Struthio camelus: one gene and its partner. The protein of the gene in region 1 interacts with the protein of each later gene in a biochemical or structural test. Links are inferred from orthologs where the notes say so. Each region holds a gene or a part of one and is shown in the gene's direction. Other genes may lie near its edges.

Region 1 (7,296 bases):
TTACGGCTCTTTCACTTTCCAGGTGACTCTCTGGCACTGCATCCATCATATCCGTTGATGTGGACCTCAGCAACCCTCTATGCAAAACAGGGAAAAGAAAACAGAGATTAACAGTCAGAAGTCCCCTGGGCTGCTGAAAGAGGAGCTTGCATAAGGAGGAAAAAGGCCTCTGAAAGTTCCTGGTGCATTTGTCTTCCACCCAGCACACTTAGTTGATCCTTTCTCTGGTCCTGAGTGAGTCCACTCTGCAGAGTGTGCAGTATGAGAACCTACAGGGATCTACTTGATCCTCTCTTCAAAGCATCGGTTGCTGATGCTCTTGGGATGAATTGGATCATGACTTTTAAGCAGACCTCCATGCCGATCTGCAGGGGGTGCAGAACTCAGGCTGCGATGGCTCTTGAAATTGCCTGCTGCAACCAAGCAATGAACCACAAAATCTTGGTAGAGAGAGAAGGATCTTTAGGACAGAAAAAGTAGTTTTCTTCTGAATTTATGATTTCCATGTATAAACATCAGAAGGCAGCCCATGACCAGGTTTAGTAGTGGAGCAGGCTGCTGCTAAGCTCTGTGTGAGGGGAAGCAGGAGGGCTTCCGAGAGCCTCTCCACATCTCACACTGCACTGAAAGGTCATTCATGTTGCAGGCAACTTCTTTTGCTTATAAAGGTTTCAGGACCAAGTAAGTGATCTTTAACATGAGGAAGAATGAGAGAGATTTGGATAGTGGGGAAAGTCCATGAAGCACCTTCATGGGAGGTGCTTCATGTAATAACCCAAGAATAATAAGACCAAGAAGGAAAAGCTTGATTTAAGTGACAGGACTGGAGCAACAGCAGTGGGAACATCCACTATAGCCCAGGCGCAGCCTGAAAGTAGATTATCTTAGGCAAAAATTTGAATGAACAGTTCAGGACTCTTGTGAAAGTAATTCCCCTTTGTCACTTTGCAAAATGTCCGTGCATGGGAAGGTGACTGGAGGTAGAAAAAAATCATCTTTTGTGGCAGAAAAATTCAAAGTCCTGCTAACCAGAAGGGAAACCACACTTAATACGAAGTAGTGGTTAGTGAGAGACTTGGACTAGTAATTCTTGAGCCTGCAAAGCTTTGTATGTGCATTTGCCTCCTGTGACTGTTCCTGGTGAGGTGACAGACTTAGAGTATGTTCACATCTGTGCCTATGCAGGGTCAAGGCCTGAAGGCAGGTGAGTTTATTGGCACTAGGAAATTCTCCGTATGGCCTCTCTCCTCTTCCCATGGAATTCAATAGGAATTTCACTGTTAAATCCAGCAACGTTGAAAATACATGCTCACATCCTGCACTTTGTGTCCGCAGGGGAAAAAATGATGCTAAAACTAACCACAGGTTGCCCTAAATGACTGAAGTTAACTGCAAATGAGAAGCTGACTGGATAGGATCTTTGAACTAATGGTATTAGCAGTATCTGGAAGAAACTTTGCTAATTTTACTGAATTCTCCCTTTCTAAGTCTTTTCACTCTGCTATGGGATATTCCAAAGGAACAAAAAGCCCTGTTAAAATGCATAGGATTTGAGATAATAGTCTCTGTATCCCGACCCATCCTGAAGGTAGAGGCTTAGGCACAAGTTCACACTTACTGTTAGGCATAAAGCTAAGGTGCCTAAATCAGGAATAAAATCAGCCTGGGCTCTGTCCATAGCCAGGGAGACAAGGACAACTGGAGAGAAATGCAGAACTTAGGGGTGGAGAGGGATGTAAGAGAGACTACACAAAGTCAGATGAATCTAGCCCAGGACCTTGTTTCGGACAGGGACCCACAGCAGGTGATTAATGGATGAAAGTAAGACACAGGGCACATGCAGAGTATTCCTTCCCTGGGAAAAACTCTTCTCTCTTCTGGAGAGGAGTGGAGAAGGCATTCGCTGGGACACTGTGACTAGGAGACCTACCCTGTACGAATTCACCTATGCCCTTTTTGAACCCATTTACCCTGTTGGCCCCCAGAAAATCCTGCAGCAGCGTGCCCGGACCATGTAGTTGCGTTGTATGAAAAGAAAAACAAACAAACAAGCAGCTCCTATCCTTTGGCCACCGTTGCGTTGTCTCAGTGTGTCAGGCAGCCTCAACAGCCAGTTCGGTCTCTTCGCGCACGCGAATGATGCACAGCCCTCTGCAAGGGGCGCGGTAGGTGCCGAATTGGAAGGCTTAAAAAAAAATCATAGGAACGCTTGCACGTCTGCAGAGAAGAAGGAGGGGCTGAAGGCCACCCAGGGAGAGGCAGATAAACCCCCTTGACTAGGAAGCTGTGACAAGATTTCTCCGGCCCTCCGTAAATGAAAGGCAACAGTTGCAGGTGCCCTTCTGAAGGGCCCCAGAAGAAGGGGGTCACGGCATCTCGCCGGAGGGATTTGGGATGTGTGTCCCCCCCCCTCCCGCGAAGCCCTCCAAAATTGGGGACAGCAAGCGACAGGGGGCGCGCCGCCACCATTTTTAACCTGCAGGACACAAGGGACAGTCCGTTTCCAGCCAGAGGGACACCCGGGCAGCATCACTCCTCTCACTTTTTGGTGTAAAATACTATTTCCCCGTTGTCTCAGCGTCTTGCCAAGCGATTCCCTCGGTGGGCAGAGGCGCATCCTTGGGTTGCGTTCTCAGTCTGGAGCCAAAAAACAGCTAATCGATCCCCCCCCCCCCCGCCAAGTATGGGCAGAAAAGGGTTGTGGTGACAGGAGGCGGATCTGCCAGGTAGCTGGCCTGAATATCGCGGTAGCTATCGCGATAAGAGCATGCCCTCCCCGAGCTGATGTTTTTTTTTTCGTTTGGAAGCGGCTCCTGAAGGCGCCGGAGTCTTGGGAAAAGTCTTTTTAAAGACTTCCTCTTAGTCTGAGTTTCCCTTGGTTAAATGAAATCCTGTTCTCTGTTGGGTTTGTATTGATATTTAGAAACTATTGCTAACCTTCGCTGATTGATGCATTTTTCCGTTCGGGAGGAAAAAAAAAATATTAAAAGAAGGTCAGTGATTTATATTTTTCCATGTGTTTTGAAGACAGATATAGCTAGATACAGAAATAGAAATATGAAGCCGATTGCGTGTAGAAAAAAAAATATACAGGAGAAATCAAGGCAGTAAGGTGTATTTTAGAGTCTTTTGGGCAGGCAGATTTACACTTTGCAATGACAGCTGCAGGATGCTGCTGGAGGAGGAATCGCCCGAGGGCTGGGAGGTGTTTGGCCACCAGACGGTGGTTTTTCCTCTTTCCTCCGTTTCCTCTTTCCCAGGGAAGGATCCGCTCAGTCCCTACTGGACCATCGCATTAAATCATTCTCCACTTGGTGGACATCGCCAGGAGCAAACGTGCCCGGCAGCACAGAGGGAGGTAGCCGCTGGCGGAGCAGCGGGCTGCCGCAGGGAGCCAGGAGCCGAGCGGGTTTTGAAGCGGGCTGATTTTTTTTTGTTGTTGTTGCTGTTGTTGTTTTGCTTTGTTTTTTGGGGTTTTTGTTTTTGTTTTTGTTTTTTTTTTTTTGGTTTCCTCGCCAGTGATCATCCCTCCTTCCTTCCCGCCGGCCGCGGCTGCCTGGGGAGCCCCGGCTGTGCCGCAGCCCGGCGGCAGGAGCGGCGGGACCCGCGGCGGCGGCGCTGCCCCCGGCCGCCGGGACCCCGCACGGCCCGGGGGCTCCGCGGCGGCGCCGACCGCCCGCGCAAAGGAGGCACCCGGCCCCGCGACGGCGCTTTGCCTGCACCCTGCCGTCCCCCCACCCCGCCTCCCCTCCCTGTTTGTTTTAGTTACGAAATTGTTGTAGGTACCTGAGCCAGCAACCTTGGGCCGGGCTGCGCGGCGCGGCGGAGCCTAAACGGCGGCTGCCGGCCGCGGGCGCCTCTCCCCGCACGTCGGGCCGAGCCCGGAGATGGGGCAGAGCCCGGGCGCCGCCGGCCGGCAGGCGGCCTGAGCCGTCGGGGCGGGGAGCCCGGGCCCCGGGGGGGCCTCCTCCGAGCAGCTGCGGGGAGCAAAAGGTGCGTGGGGCTGGGGGGGGGGGAGGCTGGGCAGGCGGGGCGGGTGGGGGGGGGGATACTGGGAAGAAGCTGCCGTCGGGGCTGCCGGGGGCGGCGGGGAAGGCTGGAAATCGGCTCCCGCAGGATTCCCCCTACGGAGCGGGGAGAAGCGCGGGTGCCGGGGCGGGGAGGGGGGCGAAGAGGGGGGAGACGACCTAGGGGTCGGCCCGCTGCCCCAGCGGTGCCGCTGGGCCCCCCGGCCTCGGCGGCGGGGCGCGGAGAGGTGCTCGGGGGGCCGCGGAGGAGCCTCTCCCGCCTAGGTGTGAGCTGATTATTCAAATGGGCAGCCGAGGACCTGGGGATTGGAGGCTCGCCCGGCGGCTCCGTGCTATATCACTCGGGCACCCACGTCACTGCAGCACTTGTCCTCCTCTTCCTCCTCCTCCTCTTCTTCCTCCCTCCTCCCTCCTCCTCCTCCGGCTCCTCCATCGCCTCCGGGCGACTCTTCGCCGCGAAACGCTGAGAAAACCCACCCAAGCAGCAGCAGGGAAAAAACCCCAGCCCCAGAGCAGCTCGATCCCCCCCCCTCCCTTCCTCCCTCCCTCCTCTTCCTCCTCCTCCAGAGGCTCAGGCAGAGGGAGCGCAACAGAGGGGAGGGAGGGCTGGGGACTTTTTTTTTTTTTTTTGGGTTGCTCTCTGTCGTCGTTTGTTGTGGCTGTTAAATTTTAAACTGCCATGCACTCCACTTCCAGTATGCTGGGAGCGGTGAAAATGGAAGGCCATGAGCACACGGACTGGAGCAACTACTACGGGGAGCCCGAGGTAAGGAGAAAGCCGGCGCTGGCGGGCGTCTGTCCCGCCGGCCCCCGCCCGCCTCCCCGGCCCCTGCCCGGCCCGGCCCGGCCCGGCCCGCTCCCCTCCCGGGACACGTCCCTCCGCTGCACCCGTGTTAGCCCTGGGATAATATTAACTCGGTCATCAAATATTGACTTGAGGAAGCTCCGGATCCTCTGCCTGCCCGCAGCCGCACGCACGCCGGCCAGGGCTGTGCTCGGCGCTGGGCAGCGGGCGCCGGCGGGGGGGGGGGGGGGGGGGGGGGGGCTGGGGAAGGTAGGGGTAGGAGGGAAAACATCGTGGTGCAAAGGTTGGCGGGCGGGGGGGGGTATTTTGGGAGGGTGTGTCGTGAGCGTCCCCCCCCCCCTCCCCGGAGAGGCGAGCAGGGCGCGGGTGCGTCTCGGGGAGGCAAAAGTTAGCGCGTTCAGGGCTGCATGTCGCTTTTTGCTCTTCCTCCCTTCCCTCCTCTCCCCGCCGGGTATTTTTTGTCGCTTCGGGCAGGGATATCCCTTCCTTTTCCTTCCAACTCCGAGGCTCGTTTCCAGGGACAGGTCTATCGATCTTGTTGCAATCTCTTTCTTTTTTTTTGTTTTTGTTTTTGTGTGCGTGTTTGTTTTTTTTTTTTTTAATTTTTTTCATTAACGAGCGTTTCAACACGCAGGAGCTTTAACCCTTCCCACCTCGCCGGGCAAGGTGCTCCGGGGCTGCAAAAGCTCGTGTGCAAGCGGCGATCTGGGTTGGGGCGGGGGTCTCCCCGTACCGTTTCTGTGCTTGGGGGGGCTGCCATCGCCCCTGGCAGGGTTACAAGTCTACCTGTTCCCCATCCCCCCCAAATCTTCCTCTCTCTCATTTGCCCTTGTAGAGCTACTCCTCGGTGAGCAACATGAACGCGGGGCTGGGCATGAACAGCATGAACACGTACATGACCATGTCGGCCATGAGCACCACGGCCAACATGACGGCTGCCACCTCCATGAACATGTCCTACGCCAACACGGGCATGAGCCCCTCGCTCACTGGCATGTCCCCGGGCACGGGCGCCATGCCTGGCATGGGCTCGGCCGGTGTGGCAGGAATGGGCACCCACCTGAGCCCCAGCATGAGCCCCATGGGGGGCCAAGCCGGCTCCATGAACGCCCTGGCCCCTTACACCAACATGAACTCTATGAGCCCCATCTACGGGCAGTCCAACCTTAACCGCTCTCGGGACCCGAAGACCTACCGGCGGAGCTACACGCATGCCAAGCCGCCCTACTCCTACATCTCCCTCATCACCATGGCCATCCAGCAGTCACCCAACAAAATGCTAACGCTGAGCGAGATCTACCAGTGGATCATGGACCTCTTCCCCTTCTACCGTCAGAACCAGCAACGCTGGCAGAACAGCATCCGCCACTCGCTCTCCTTCAATGACTGCTTCCTCAAGGTGCCCCGCTCCCCAGATAAGCCAGGTAAAGGCTCCTTCTGGACACTGCACCCTGACTCAGGCAACATGTTTGAGAACGGCTGCTACCTGCGCCGCCAGAAGCGCTTCAAGTGTGAGAAGCAGCTGGCCGCCAAGGACAGCGGTGGGGCAAGTGGCGGAGCAGGCGGCGGGGGCAAGAAGGGGCCCGGGCAGCCACCCAGCCAGCCGTTGGGGGAAGGCAGCTCCTCAGGCGGCTCTGAGGGCTCAGCTGGTGCTGAGTCCCCTGCCAGCAGCTCGCCGTGCCAGGACCACAAGCGTGCCCTGGCTGACTTGAAGGGCACGACAGGGCTGAGCCCCGGGGAGCCAGCAGCCTCTCCAGGGCAGCACCTCCTGGCCCCCCAACACGCTGGCCTGCCCCATGATGCCCATCTCAAGCCTGAGCACCACTACGCCTTCAACCACCCCTTTTCCATCAACAACCTGATGTCCTCCTCTGAGCAGCAGCATCACCACCCTCACCACCACCACCACCACCACCACAAAATGGACCTCAAGGCCTACGAGCAGGTGATGCACTACTCGGGCTACGCCTCACCCATGCCTGGCAGCCTGGCCATGGGACCTGTAACGAACAAAAATGGCTTAGAGTCCTCCCCTTTAGCCGGAGAGACTTCTTATTACCAAGGTGTGTATTCCCGGCCCATCATGAACTCCTCCTAAAGGGGCAAGGGAAAAACCTCCCCTCACAAGGGGAGAAAAACCACCCCACCCCAGCCCCTGCGCAGTCCCCTAGCAGAGGGATGGACTATGAACGCTGTTGAGCACGGTGCATATACATATATATCTATCTATTTTTTTTTGGTTGGCTCCAGATGTTTGCATCTGTTTGGGAAACAACTGATGTGTGTCATGCAAGCATCTCGACCCACGCCAAAGGCAGGCGTGTTGGTCCCCGCCGGCCAAAAGCCACCCATGTCCCGGGGGACCGTGATTCCCTTGGTTTACTTTGTGGGGTGGTTTGTTTTGGTGGGGAGGGGTGGGTTGGGGGTGAGGGGACGGGGAGAGTTTTTTTTTGTTGGGGTTAT
Region 2 (7,753 bases), on another chromosome or scaffold:
CGGCCGCGGGGACCCACGGGCCGGCAGCGCCCAGCCAGCCCGGTGCCCCGCGCGGCGCTGCGCGGCGCTGCGCACCCCCCCGCCGCCGCCTTTTCACGTGCTGCCCCCGCTCCAAACTTTCCCTCCGCAGCATCCATCACCGCCTCCCTCCACCGGGGGCCGCCTCGGCCGCCCTGCCCACGGCGGCGGCGCGGTCCCGCGGGGGCGCCCTGCGCCTCCCCCTCCCCTTAGCGGGGTGCCAACTTTTAAGCGCTGCCCCCACCCCCGCAAGCCATCCCCGGAGGGGAGTGGGGCACTGCTAGGAATTATTATAATTATTCCCCCCCGCTTCGCACCCCCCGCCGGCCCGCCCGCAAGGCAGGGGGCGCGCGGCCCGGGCCGCGGGGCGGCGGGCGCGGGCGCGGGGCGGCGCGGCGGGGCCGGGGCTGCCGGTAAGTTGGCGGCGCGGTGGCGGCAGCCCCGGGGGAGCGGGCGCCGCGCGCGCTCCCATTGGCCGCCCCGCCGTCAGCTGCTCCTATTTTCTGCTGTCGCTTTTGGCGCTCGGCCATCCAGAAACAAACCACTTCGATGACTACTAATAGTTATAGCCAGATGTACTAATACACAACAAATCACGGTCCGGGAGAGGGGCGAGCAAATGAGTTCCTATTTTGTGAATCCCACTTTCCCTGGGAGCCTGCCCAGTGGCCAGGACTCTTTCCTCGGGCAGATCCCCCTTTATCCGGCGGGCTATGATGCTCTGAGGCATTTTCCGGCTTCTTACGGGGCAAGCAGCCTGCAGGACAAGACTTACACCTCACCTTGTTTTTACCAACAGTCCAACACCGTCATTGCTTGCAATCGGGCTTCCTATGAGTATGGAGCCTCTTGTTTTTATTCGGACAAGGAAATTAGTAGCGCCTCTCCCTCCGGCAGTGGCAAACAGAGGGGGCACGGGGACTATCTGCACTTTTCTCCCGATCAACAATACAAATCGAGCAGCGTGCAAACCAAAATTGTAAATGACGAAGGCACCGACCGGAAGTACACGAGTCCTGTTTACCCCTGGATGCAGCGGATGAACTCCTGTGCTGGTAAGTCATTTGAATGAAATCGAGGGGGGAGGAAAAGTTTCTTTCCCCAAGATTTTTTTTTTTTTTCCTTAGATAAAGTCCAGACTGCTGGAGAGAAATGGCTCCTGCAGGGCAATGTGTAACATGAAACCTTCCCAGGTTATTTTAGACCTGGCACATTGGCACCCTGGGAGCAGCGGCCGAGAGCCCGGCTCGTGGGTTATCTGGTAAAACTTACTGAGGGATCCTTAGGAAGCAGCGGGAAAAAAAAAAAGGAAAAAAAAAGAAAAGAAAAGCAAGGAAGGAGCAAGGCTGTTTCACCACTCTCCTTAACCCAGCCTAAAGCCCCTGCTTCGCTCCTGCATTGTCAGAGAGCGCTGTAAGGAATATGCCCTCTGCGCTGAGGCTCCCATGCAGTGGTGGCACATTCCTCACGGCCCCCCTCCCCCAGCTCATTAGCGTGTCAGTATTGGATATTGAGAGCACGTTTCTGGGGCCGTGTGCGCACTTCCACGGCACCGCGCATTTCCCCTGGCTTCCCAGTGAACCTCACGCAGTGGAACTATTCTGCCTGGGAGGGGTGCTGGGGGCTGGGGGGGCGGCTGGCATTGTCCTGGAGCGGCACTTATTTTTAATAATCCCGTTAACACGTTCACTTCCAGTGTTTGCTAGTAACTCCCCTACCCTGCCCTCCTCCAGGGTTTCTGTTTGCTGGACTCTGGGTTGTGCTTCTTTTGGGGAAAGTTTAACTTTTAGCAAGACCATTCGGATGTTGCTTTGCATTTCAGTGCAATAAATTCCGGAGCAAATGGCAAAGGCTGTTCTATGATCTTAAGCTGATGTCTATAATTATACCTAAATTGCAGAGCCTCTATAATCACAGCCATGGCAATAGAAGGTGTTTGTGTAAACACGCACATCCACATGTATGCGCGCACGCACACACACGCACACACACATGCGTGCGACTCCCTGGGTCGCACACACGTGTGTGCGTGTGTGTGTGTGCGTGTGTGTGTGTGTGTGCGTGTGTGCGTGCGCACACAGGCTCTCGACGTGCAGAGTGTAGGCACTGCTCAGCGATTTATGAGGCTGTTACCCACTTCACTTTTCCTAGGTCCAGCTTACAGGCTCTTTGTATCAGAGTTACCCCATCGACCCTAAGCACGATGCACACCCGTATTTACAGCTCTTCAGGCAGGAGAAAAGGGGGGAAATAAGCCTTCAGAAAACCAGAGCACCCCACCACCACCGCGTGTGATAGTGCCTGCGAAAGGAGGCAGAATATACTAACCACTCTTTCTGATCTGAAAATCCCTGGGCCCTGTCCAATGCGATCATTTTGTCTTTACTTCTACAGGTACAGTATATGGATCTCACGGGAGACGAGGGAGGCAAACTTACACCAGATACCAAACGCTAGAGTTAGAGAAGGAATTTCATTTTAACAGATACTTAACCAGAAGACGACGTATTGAGATTGCAAACGCTCTCTGCCTTACTGAACGCCAGATTAAAATATGGTTTCAAAACAGGCGGATGAAATGGAAAAAGGAAAACAAATTCATAAATTCCGCACAGCCCAGCAGCGAAGAAACAGAGGAAAAGTCAGGGGAGTAGAATCATATTTAATAAACGCTACCAGGCCTTTCCTTAGCGCTTACTATTCTCACTATTATGTACCTTGTGTTCCTTCGGCTACTAAAATCCTATAGGTTTGTCACAGTCTATTAATTCCCCAAAGGCTTGGCTAAAAGATATACATTTACAGTCAACTGTGACTTTCTTTAATATATGTAGAAGTCTAAGCTTTCGAGCTGTGTCGTGTATATATATAACCACCTTCCCAAAGCATAGATGGCTTTGCTTAAAGTATTTGAGAAATGGCTCAGATTTTTAAATATTTGAAGTGAGCATCTGTGTGCGGGTGAGTGTCCATGGCATGTCTGTGTGAGAACAGATAAGGGAGTGATTTTGTTGTTGTTTGTTTTTTAATTAGGAATGTTCATATTGTAGAAATACGAGAAATTTTAGAAAATCTTGGTTTTACATTTTCACTAATTCCGGCTATGCCGGGCCGTCTCGTGTTGTGTTTGGGAGCTTATAGTTTGTAGGGGGAAAAAAAAAGTTTTACACATGTATAAGCATTTAAATCGCAAAAAGAAGAAAATTTCTTTAAAAAAATCGTTATATAAAAATATGAGTATGAACTTGCAGTTAAAGCAAAGGTGAATCGCAGGGAGATTTTTAAATGCCGCTAAACTGTCTAATCTGCACTACGAGTATTAAAGTAAAAACTCGCGGTTAAACTTTAGGACAAGCGAGGGAAGAGGTTTTAAGGCGGGCGAACTTCTGTGGTTCCCGTTGAGCTAACACTGAGATTTCGGTGAACTCAGCTTTACACGGAGAGGGCTCTGAATTATAGACTACATTTCGTGGAGATTCATGGGCTTGGTTATTTCTTTAATTCTTTCTTTCTTTCTTTTGGTTTTTATTTATTTATTTTTATTAAAAGTAAAGTAACTGTCATATTGACTCGGGAATGTTCTTCCCCGCTTTTGTGGTATCTCAATTCACATTCGCATTTCCTAGTACTGAAAAAAATATATATATAGCTATAGACACTCTAAAGAACAGCAGCTGCGATAAAATCCTTCCATTTCGAGTTCTCTTTAAGTAAAATGAGCGCAGAGAAAATATTGTCTAATATATGCATTATATATATTGTGAGTGTGTGAGTGTGCGTGTGAAGCTGTGTACAAATATACGTGTATACGCATCAAGGCTCTTTTGTTCGAAAGGAAGCATAATTTGGGCAACCGCTCTGAACATTTTAAAAGCCACATCGCGAAAATATTAGTGCAAAATGGCTACCATCGCATTTGTATTTTTTTCTGGGAGGCGTAAAAACAACGCTGACCATAAAGCCGTCTGGAATTTGACCCCCTAGCCAGAAAAATGCTGCACAATATTTATCTTTCATAGGTACCTGCCATTTCAGATCGGCAGAACCCGACTGCCTCTCGAAAGCTCTCGCACGGGGGGGGGGGGGGGAAGCGGGGGGGAAGGGACATAAGCGTTGCCAGCAACCGAGGATTTATTATATAGTGTTGCTGAACTGGTGTAAATAAGCCGCTCGCGGAAGAGAAAATACAAACGCAGCGGCGTGATTTCTGCGCTCCAGAGTCCCCAGCAGCCCGGGGGAGGGCGCGGGCGGGAGCCGCCGGCCGCGGAGGCCGCCGCGGGGGAGAGCGGGCCGCGGCCCCGCCGCCGCCGCGGCCCCGCGCCCGCCGCCGGGCCCCGCCGCCGCCATGCTCCGCCATGCGCCGCGCCGCGCCGCGGGCCGCCCGCGCGGAGCCCCGCGGAGCCGAGCGGAGGCGGGCGGCCGCGCCGCCGTCGGGGGCTCTCACCCCGGCCCGACCCCGCGGCCGCGCCTTCCCCCGCGCCGCCAGCGGGTGGCGCTCGAGGCCGGCGGACGGGCGGGCGGCGGCGGCGGCGGCGCGCCGCGGCGGCGCGCCCCGGGCCGCCCGCGCCCTCCCAGCTCCCCCACCAGTGCACGAGTTTACCTCTAGAGGTCATCAGGCAGGATTTACGACTGGACAACAAAAGCACGTGATTTGAAGCCGTACCCCATATTTGGGTGCCTACGTAGGAGGGAACCAAGTACATGTCCCAGTCATTTCCATAATTCATCATAAATTGTGCAAGGGTGCTATAGACGCACAAAACGACCAAGAGCCACAAATCAAGCACACATATCAAAAAACAAATGAGCTCTTATTTTGTAAACTCATTTTGCGGTCGCTATCCAAATGGCCCGGACTACCAGTTACATAATTATGGAGATCACAGCTCGGTGAGCGAGCAATACAGGGACTCCGGCAGCATGCATTCCGGCAGGTACGGATACGGCTACAATGGCATGGACCTCAGCGTCGGGCGCTCTGCTTCCACCCACTTTGGTGCCAATGAGAGATCCCGCAGTTACCCGGCCAACACCACCTCTGCCTCGACAGAGCCCAGGTACAACCAGCCCGCGACGTCTTCCCACTCGCCGCCACCTGACCCTCTGCCCTGCACCGCCGTGGCCGGTTCGCCTGTCAGCGAGAGTCACCACGGGGTGAAAAACTCCCTCGCCAACTCCACCAGCACTTCGTCCAATTCCAGCAGCAACACGCACATAAGCAGAGACGGGGTTGGCACCTCGTCTGGGACTGAGGAAGACACTCCAGCAAGCAGCGAGCAGGCAAGTGCCCCGACCGACCAAAGCACAGCCCAGCCTTCACAGCCCCAGATCTACCCTTGGATGCGAAAACTGCACATAAGTCATGGTAAAGCAAATACCCTGTTCTTTCTTTATTTCTCTGGAGGAAAAGGAGGATTTAATGTAAACCGGGTGTCTGCGCTAAGCGAGGTCGGGGAGAGGGGGAGAGGAGGGCGTGAGAGCGTGCAGCCTCCGCACACAACTCTGCTCGCAGGGAAGCCAGGTCCGTTGTCTGGGCAAGTGTCCCCCTCCCCCAAATAAAAATGCCCAGCCCCAAAAATACAGCCTGCCTCGCTCCCGTTGCCAGCCCTGGCTCGTGCAGGGACCGGGAGAGCAGCAACCGCCTTAGCGAGGGGGATCGTGAGCAGAGGCTGCTCCTGGGTCTCCTTTTTAAGGGGGATCCTCCAGTGGGAACAGCGCTGCTGACCCCATTTATTTTTCCGAGCCATACTTAAAAAGAGAATAGGAGAGGGCGAAGAGGGCAGTTTTCCTTGCTGGGAAGCCCTGGGGGAGGGGAGCAGCAGCCCCAAACTCCGGGTGAGGGGCGCGGGGGAGCCGAGCAACTTTCCGACCTGGCTACCTGCCGCGCCCCCGCCGCCGGGGGAGCAGCCGGGGGCTCGCTGCCTCCCACAGCCTTCTCCAGCTCAGCCGTGGGAAAGGGCTGCCCGCCTCTGCTTTGCTCTCCCAGCCCTGGAAACCCATCTCTAGCAGCAGAGGCATCCCCAAACCAGCTTCGCTAGGGGAGGCATGTGGAGATTATTCTCAAAAAAAAAAAAAAAATCGAAATCAAAATCCAAGCGAAAACTTACCACGACCACTAAACCCCCCTCCCCCAATCCTTTGCTAAAAGGGGCTGGAGGGGGGAAACTTGTTGAGCATTTACCCAAACGAGCACAAAACCCAAGCTGGACTGAGAATAACGGTCCTGGTTGCTCGTAGCTGCAATAAGACCTGAGGGCTCCAAGTTGCTGCTGAGAATCTAAATCATGTACTTTTCTCTTCCAGACAACATAGGGGGACCAGAAGGGAAAAGGGCTCGGACTGCTTACACCCGATATCAGACCTTGGAGCTGGAAAAGGAATTTCACTTCAATAGATACCTGACCCGCAGAAGAAGGATTGAAATAGCACATGCTCTTTGCCTCTCAGAGAGACAAATAAAGATCTGGTTCCAAAACAGGAGAATGAAATGGAAAAAGGATAATAAGCTGAAAAGTATGAGCATGGCAGCTGCAGGAGGGGCATTCCGTCCCTAAGCATTTGATCAATTAAAAGTACTGAGCAGTATTAGCTGACCCTGCGTCTCATGTCAGTACTAAGTTGACTTTCTAAAACTTCCTTGTGTTACTTCTGTGAAGAAACCCTGTTCTTGTCGCCCTTATTCATCTTTTAATCATGAGCCTGTTTATTACCATTCTCTCGCGTGTATAAGTAGATCTGCTTTTATCGTACATTTCTTTGTCTTGAATGGCTTTGTCTTGAAAAAATAATAGATGTTTTAACTTATTTATATGAAGCGAGCTGTGTTACTTGAAGTAACTGTTAAAAAGCAAAACAAAAAAGAACAAAAAAAGAGAGAAAAAAAGAGAGAGAGAGAGAAAGAAACCCTCCCCGGTTTAGTACAAATGTTGTGTTGCACTCAACCTGCTTAACTGTGCATGTGTGGTCAAGTGTTAATGTCTGTATAGCTCCAAGCTGTTAAAAATATTTTTATTCAAACTACCTATACAATTCCTGTGTAATTAATGCTGTTGTAGAGGTGAAATGATGAAATCAACTGAACTTGTCCTACGTGTAGTGAATAGTGAATCTGTGACGAAAACTGTGATTCCAAGCAGTATGTCCTTGCTGTGCCTTTGTATATGACTCTTTGCACGAACTCTTAGAAGTGGCTCTTATTAAGCGCAGCTTCTGTGATGTATGTTTTTTGTGAACAAAGTTACAAATATAGTCAAAGTCTGGCTGTTTGAGCAAACTGTGATCAGCTTTTTTTTTTTGTATTTGTTTTTAAAAAAAACTGACTGGAAATCAACAAAAAAATAAACTTTCTATTGTAAATTTTTCGTGATCTGGTTTGTGCAAAGCAAGGAATTGTGCTTCCTGATTTGCCTTTTAAAAATATTAATCCGTGCAGAGTTTGTAGTAATATTTTACCTGGCTCACGCTGCACGTTGCCTGTGATAGAGCTGCAATTGTCCGCTACCAGTATTTTTAATTGAAAGTTTCTCCTTAAGTTCCTCTTTAATGGTTTCTCGTTAGGTGGAAAGCTGCATTGCATGACCACAATCAACACCCTTTGTGGGTGAATCAACTGTTAGCTATTTGCTGATGGTTAAAAAAAAAAAAAAGTGCTTTGTTAAAACACACTGCTAACTCCAAGATGTGTTTGAATCGCTCTAGAATTTCTCCTGTGGTTTCATTAAGTATATTTGCAGGA

Evidence for each region.
Region 2: the proteins of FOXA2 (region 1) and HOXA5 form a complex in vitro, tested with the Homo sapiens proteins (2 studies listed by BioGRID). The link is inferred for Struthio camelus from reciprocal best matches to the Homo sapiens genes FOXA2 and HOXA5.

The regions. Positions count from the first base shown.
Region 1 is NC_090944.1:146,430,694-146,437,989, reverse strand, and holds the start of FOXA2 (hepatocyte nuclear factor 3-beta), read left to right. Parts: upstream 1-4,248; 5' UTR 4,249-4,707; coding exon 4,708-4,794; intron 4,795-5,668; coding exon 5,669-6,931; 3' UTR 6,932-7,296. UniProt on the Homo sapiens protein: Transcription factor that is involved in embryonic development, establishment of tissue-specific gene expression and regulation of gene expression in differentiated tissues.
Region 2 is NC_090943.1:39,141,225-39,148,977, reverse strand, and holds HOXA5 (homeobox protein Hox-A5), read left to right. Parts: upstream 1-4,688; 5' UTR 4,689-4,821; coding exon 4,822-5,383; intron 5,384-6,321; coding exon 6,322-6,572; 3' UTR 6,573-7,371; downstream 7,372-7,753. Other genes in the region: HOXA6 (homeobox protein Hox-A6), read left to right, coding at 638-1,073, 2,413-2,672. UniProt on the Homo sapiens protein: Sequence-specific transcription factor which is part of a developmental regulatory system that provides cells with specific positional identities on the anterior-posterior axis. Also binds to its own promoter.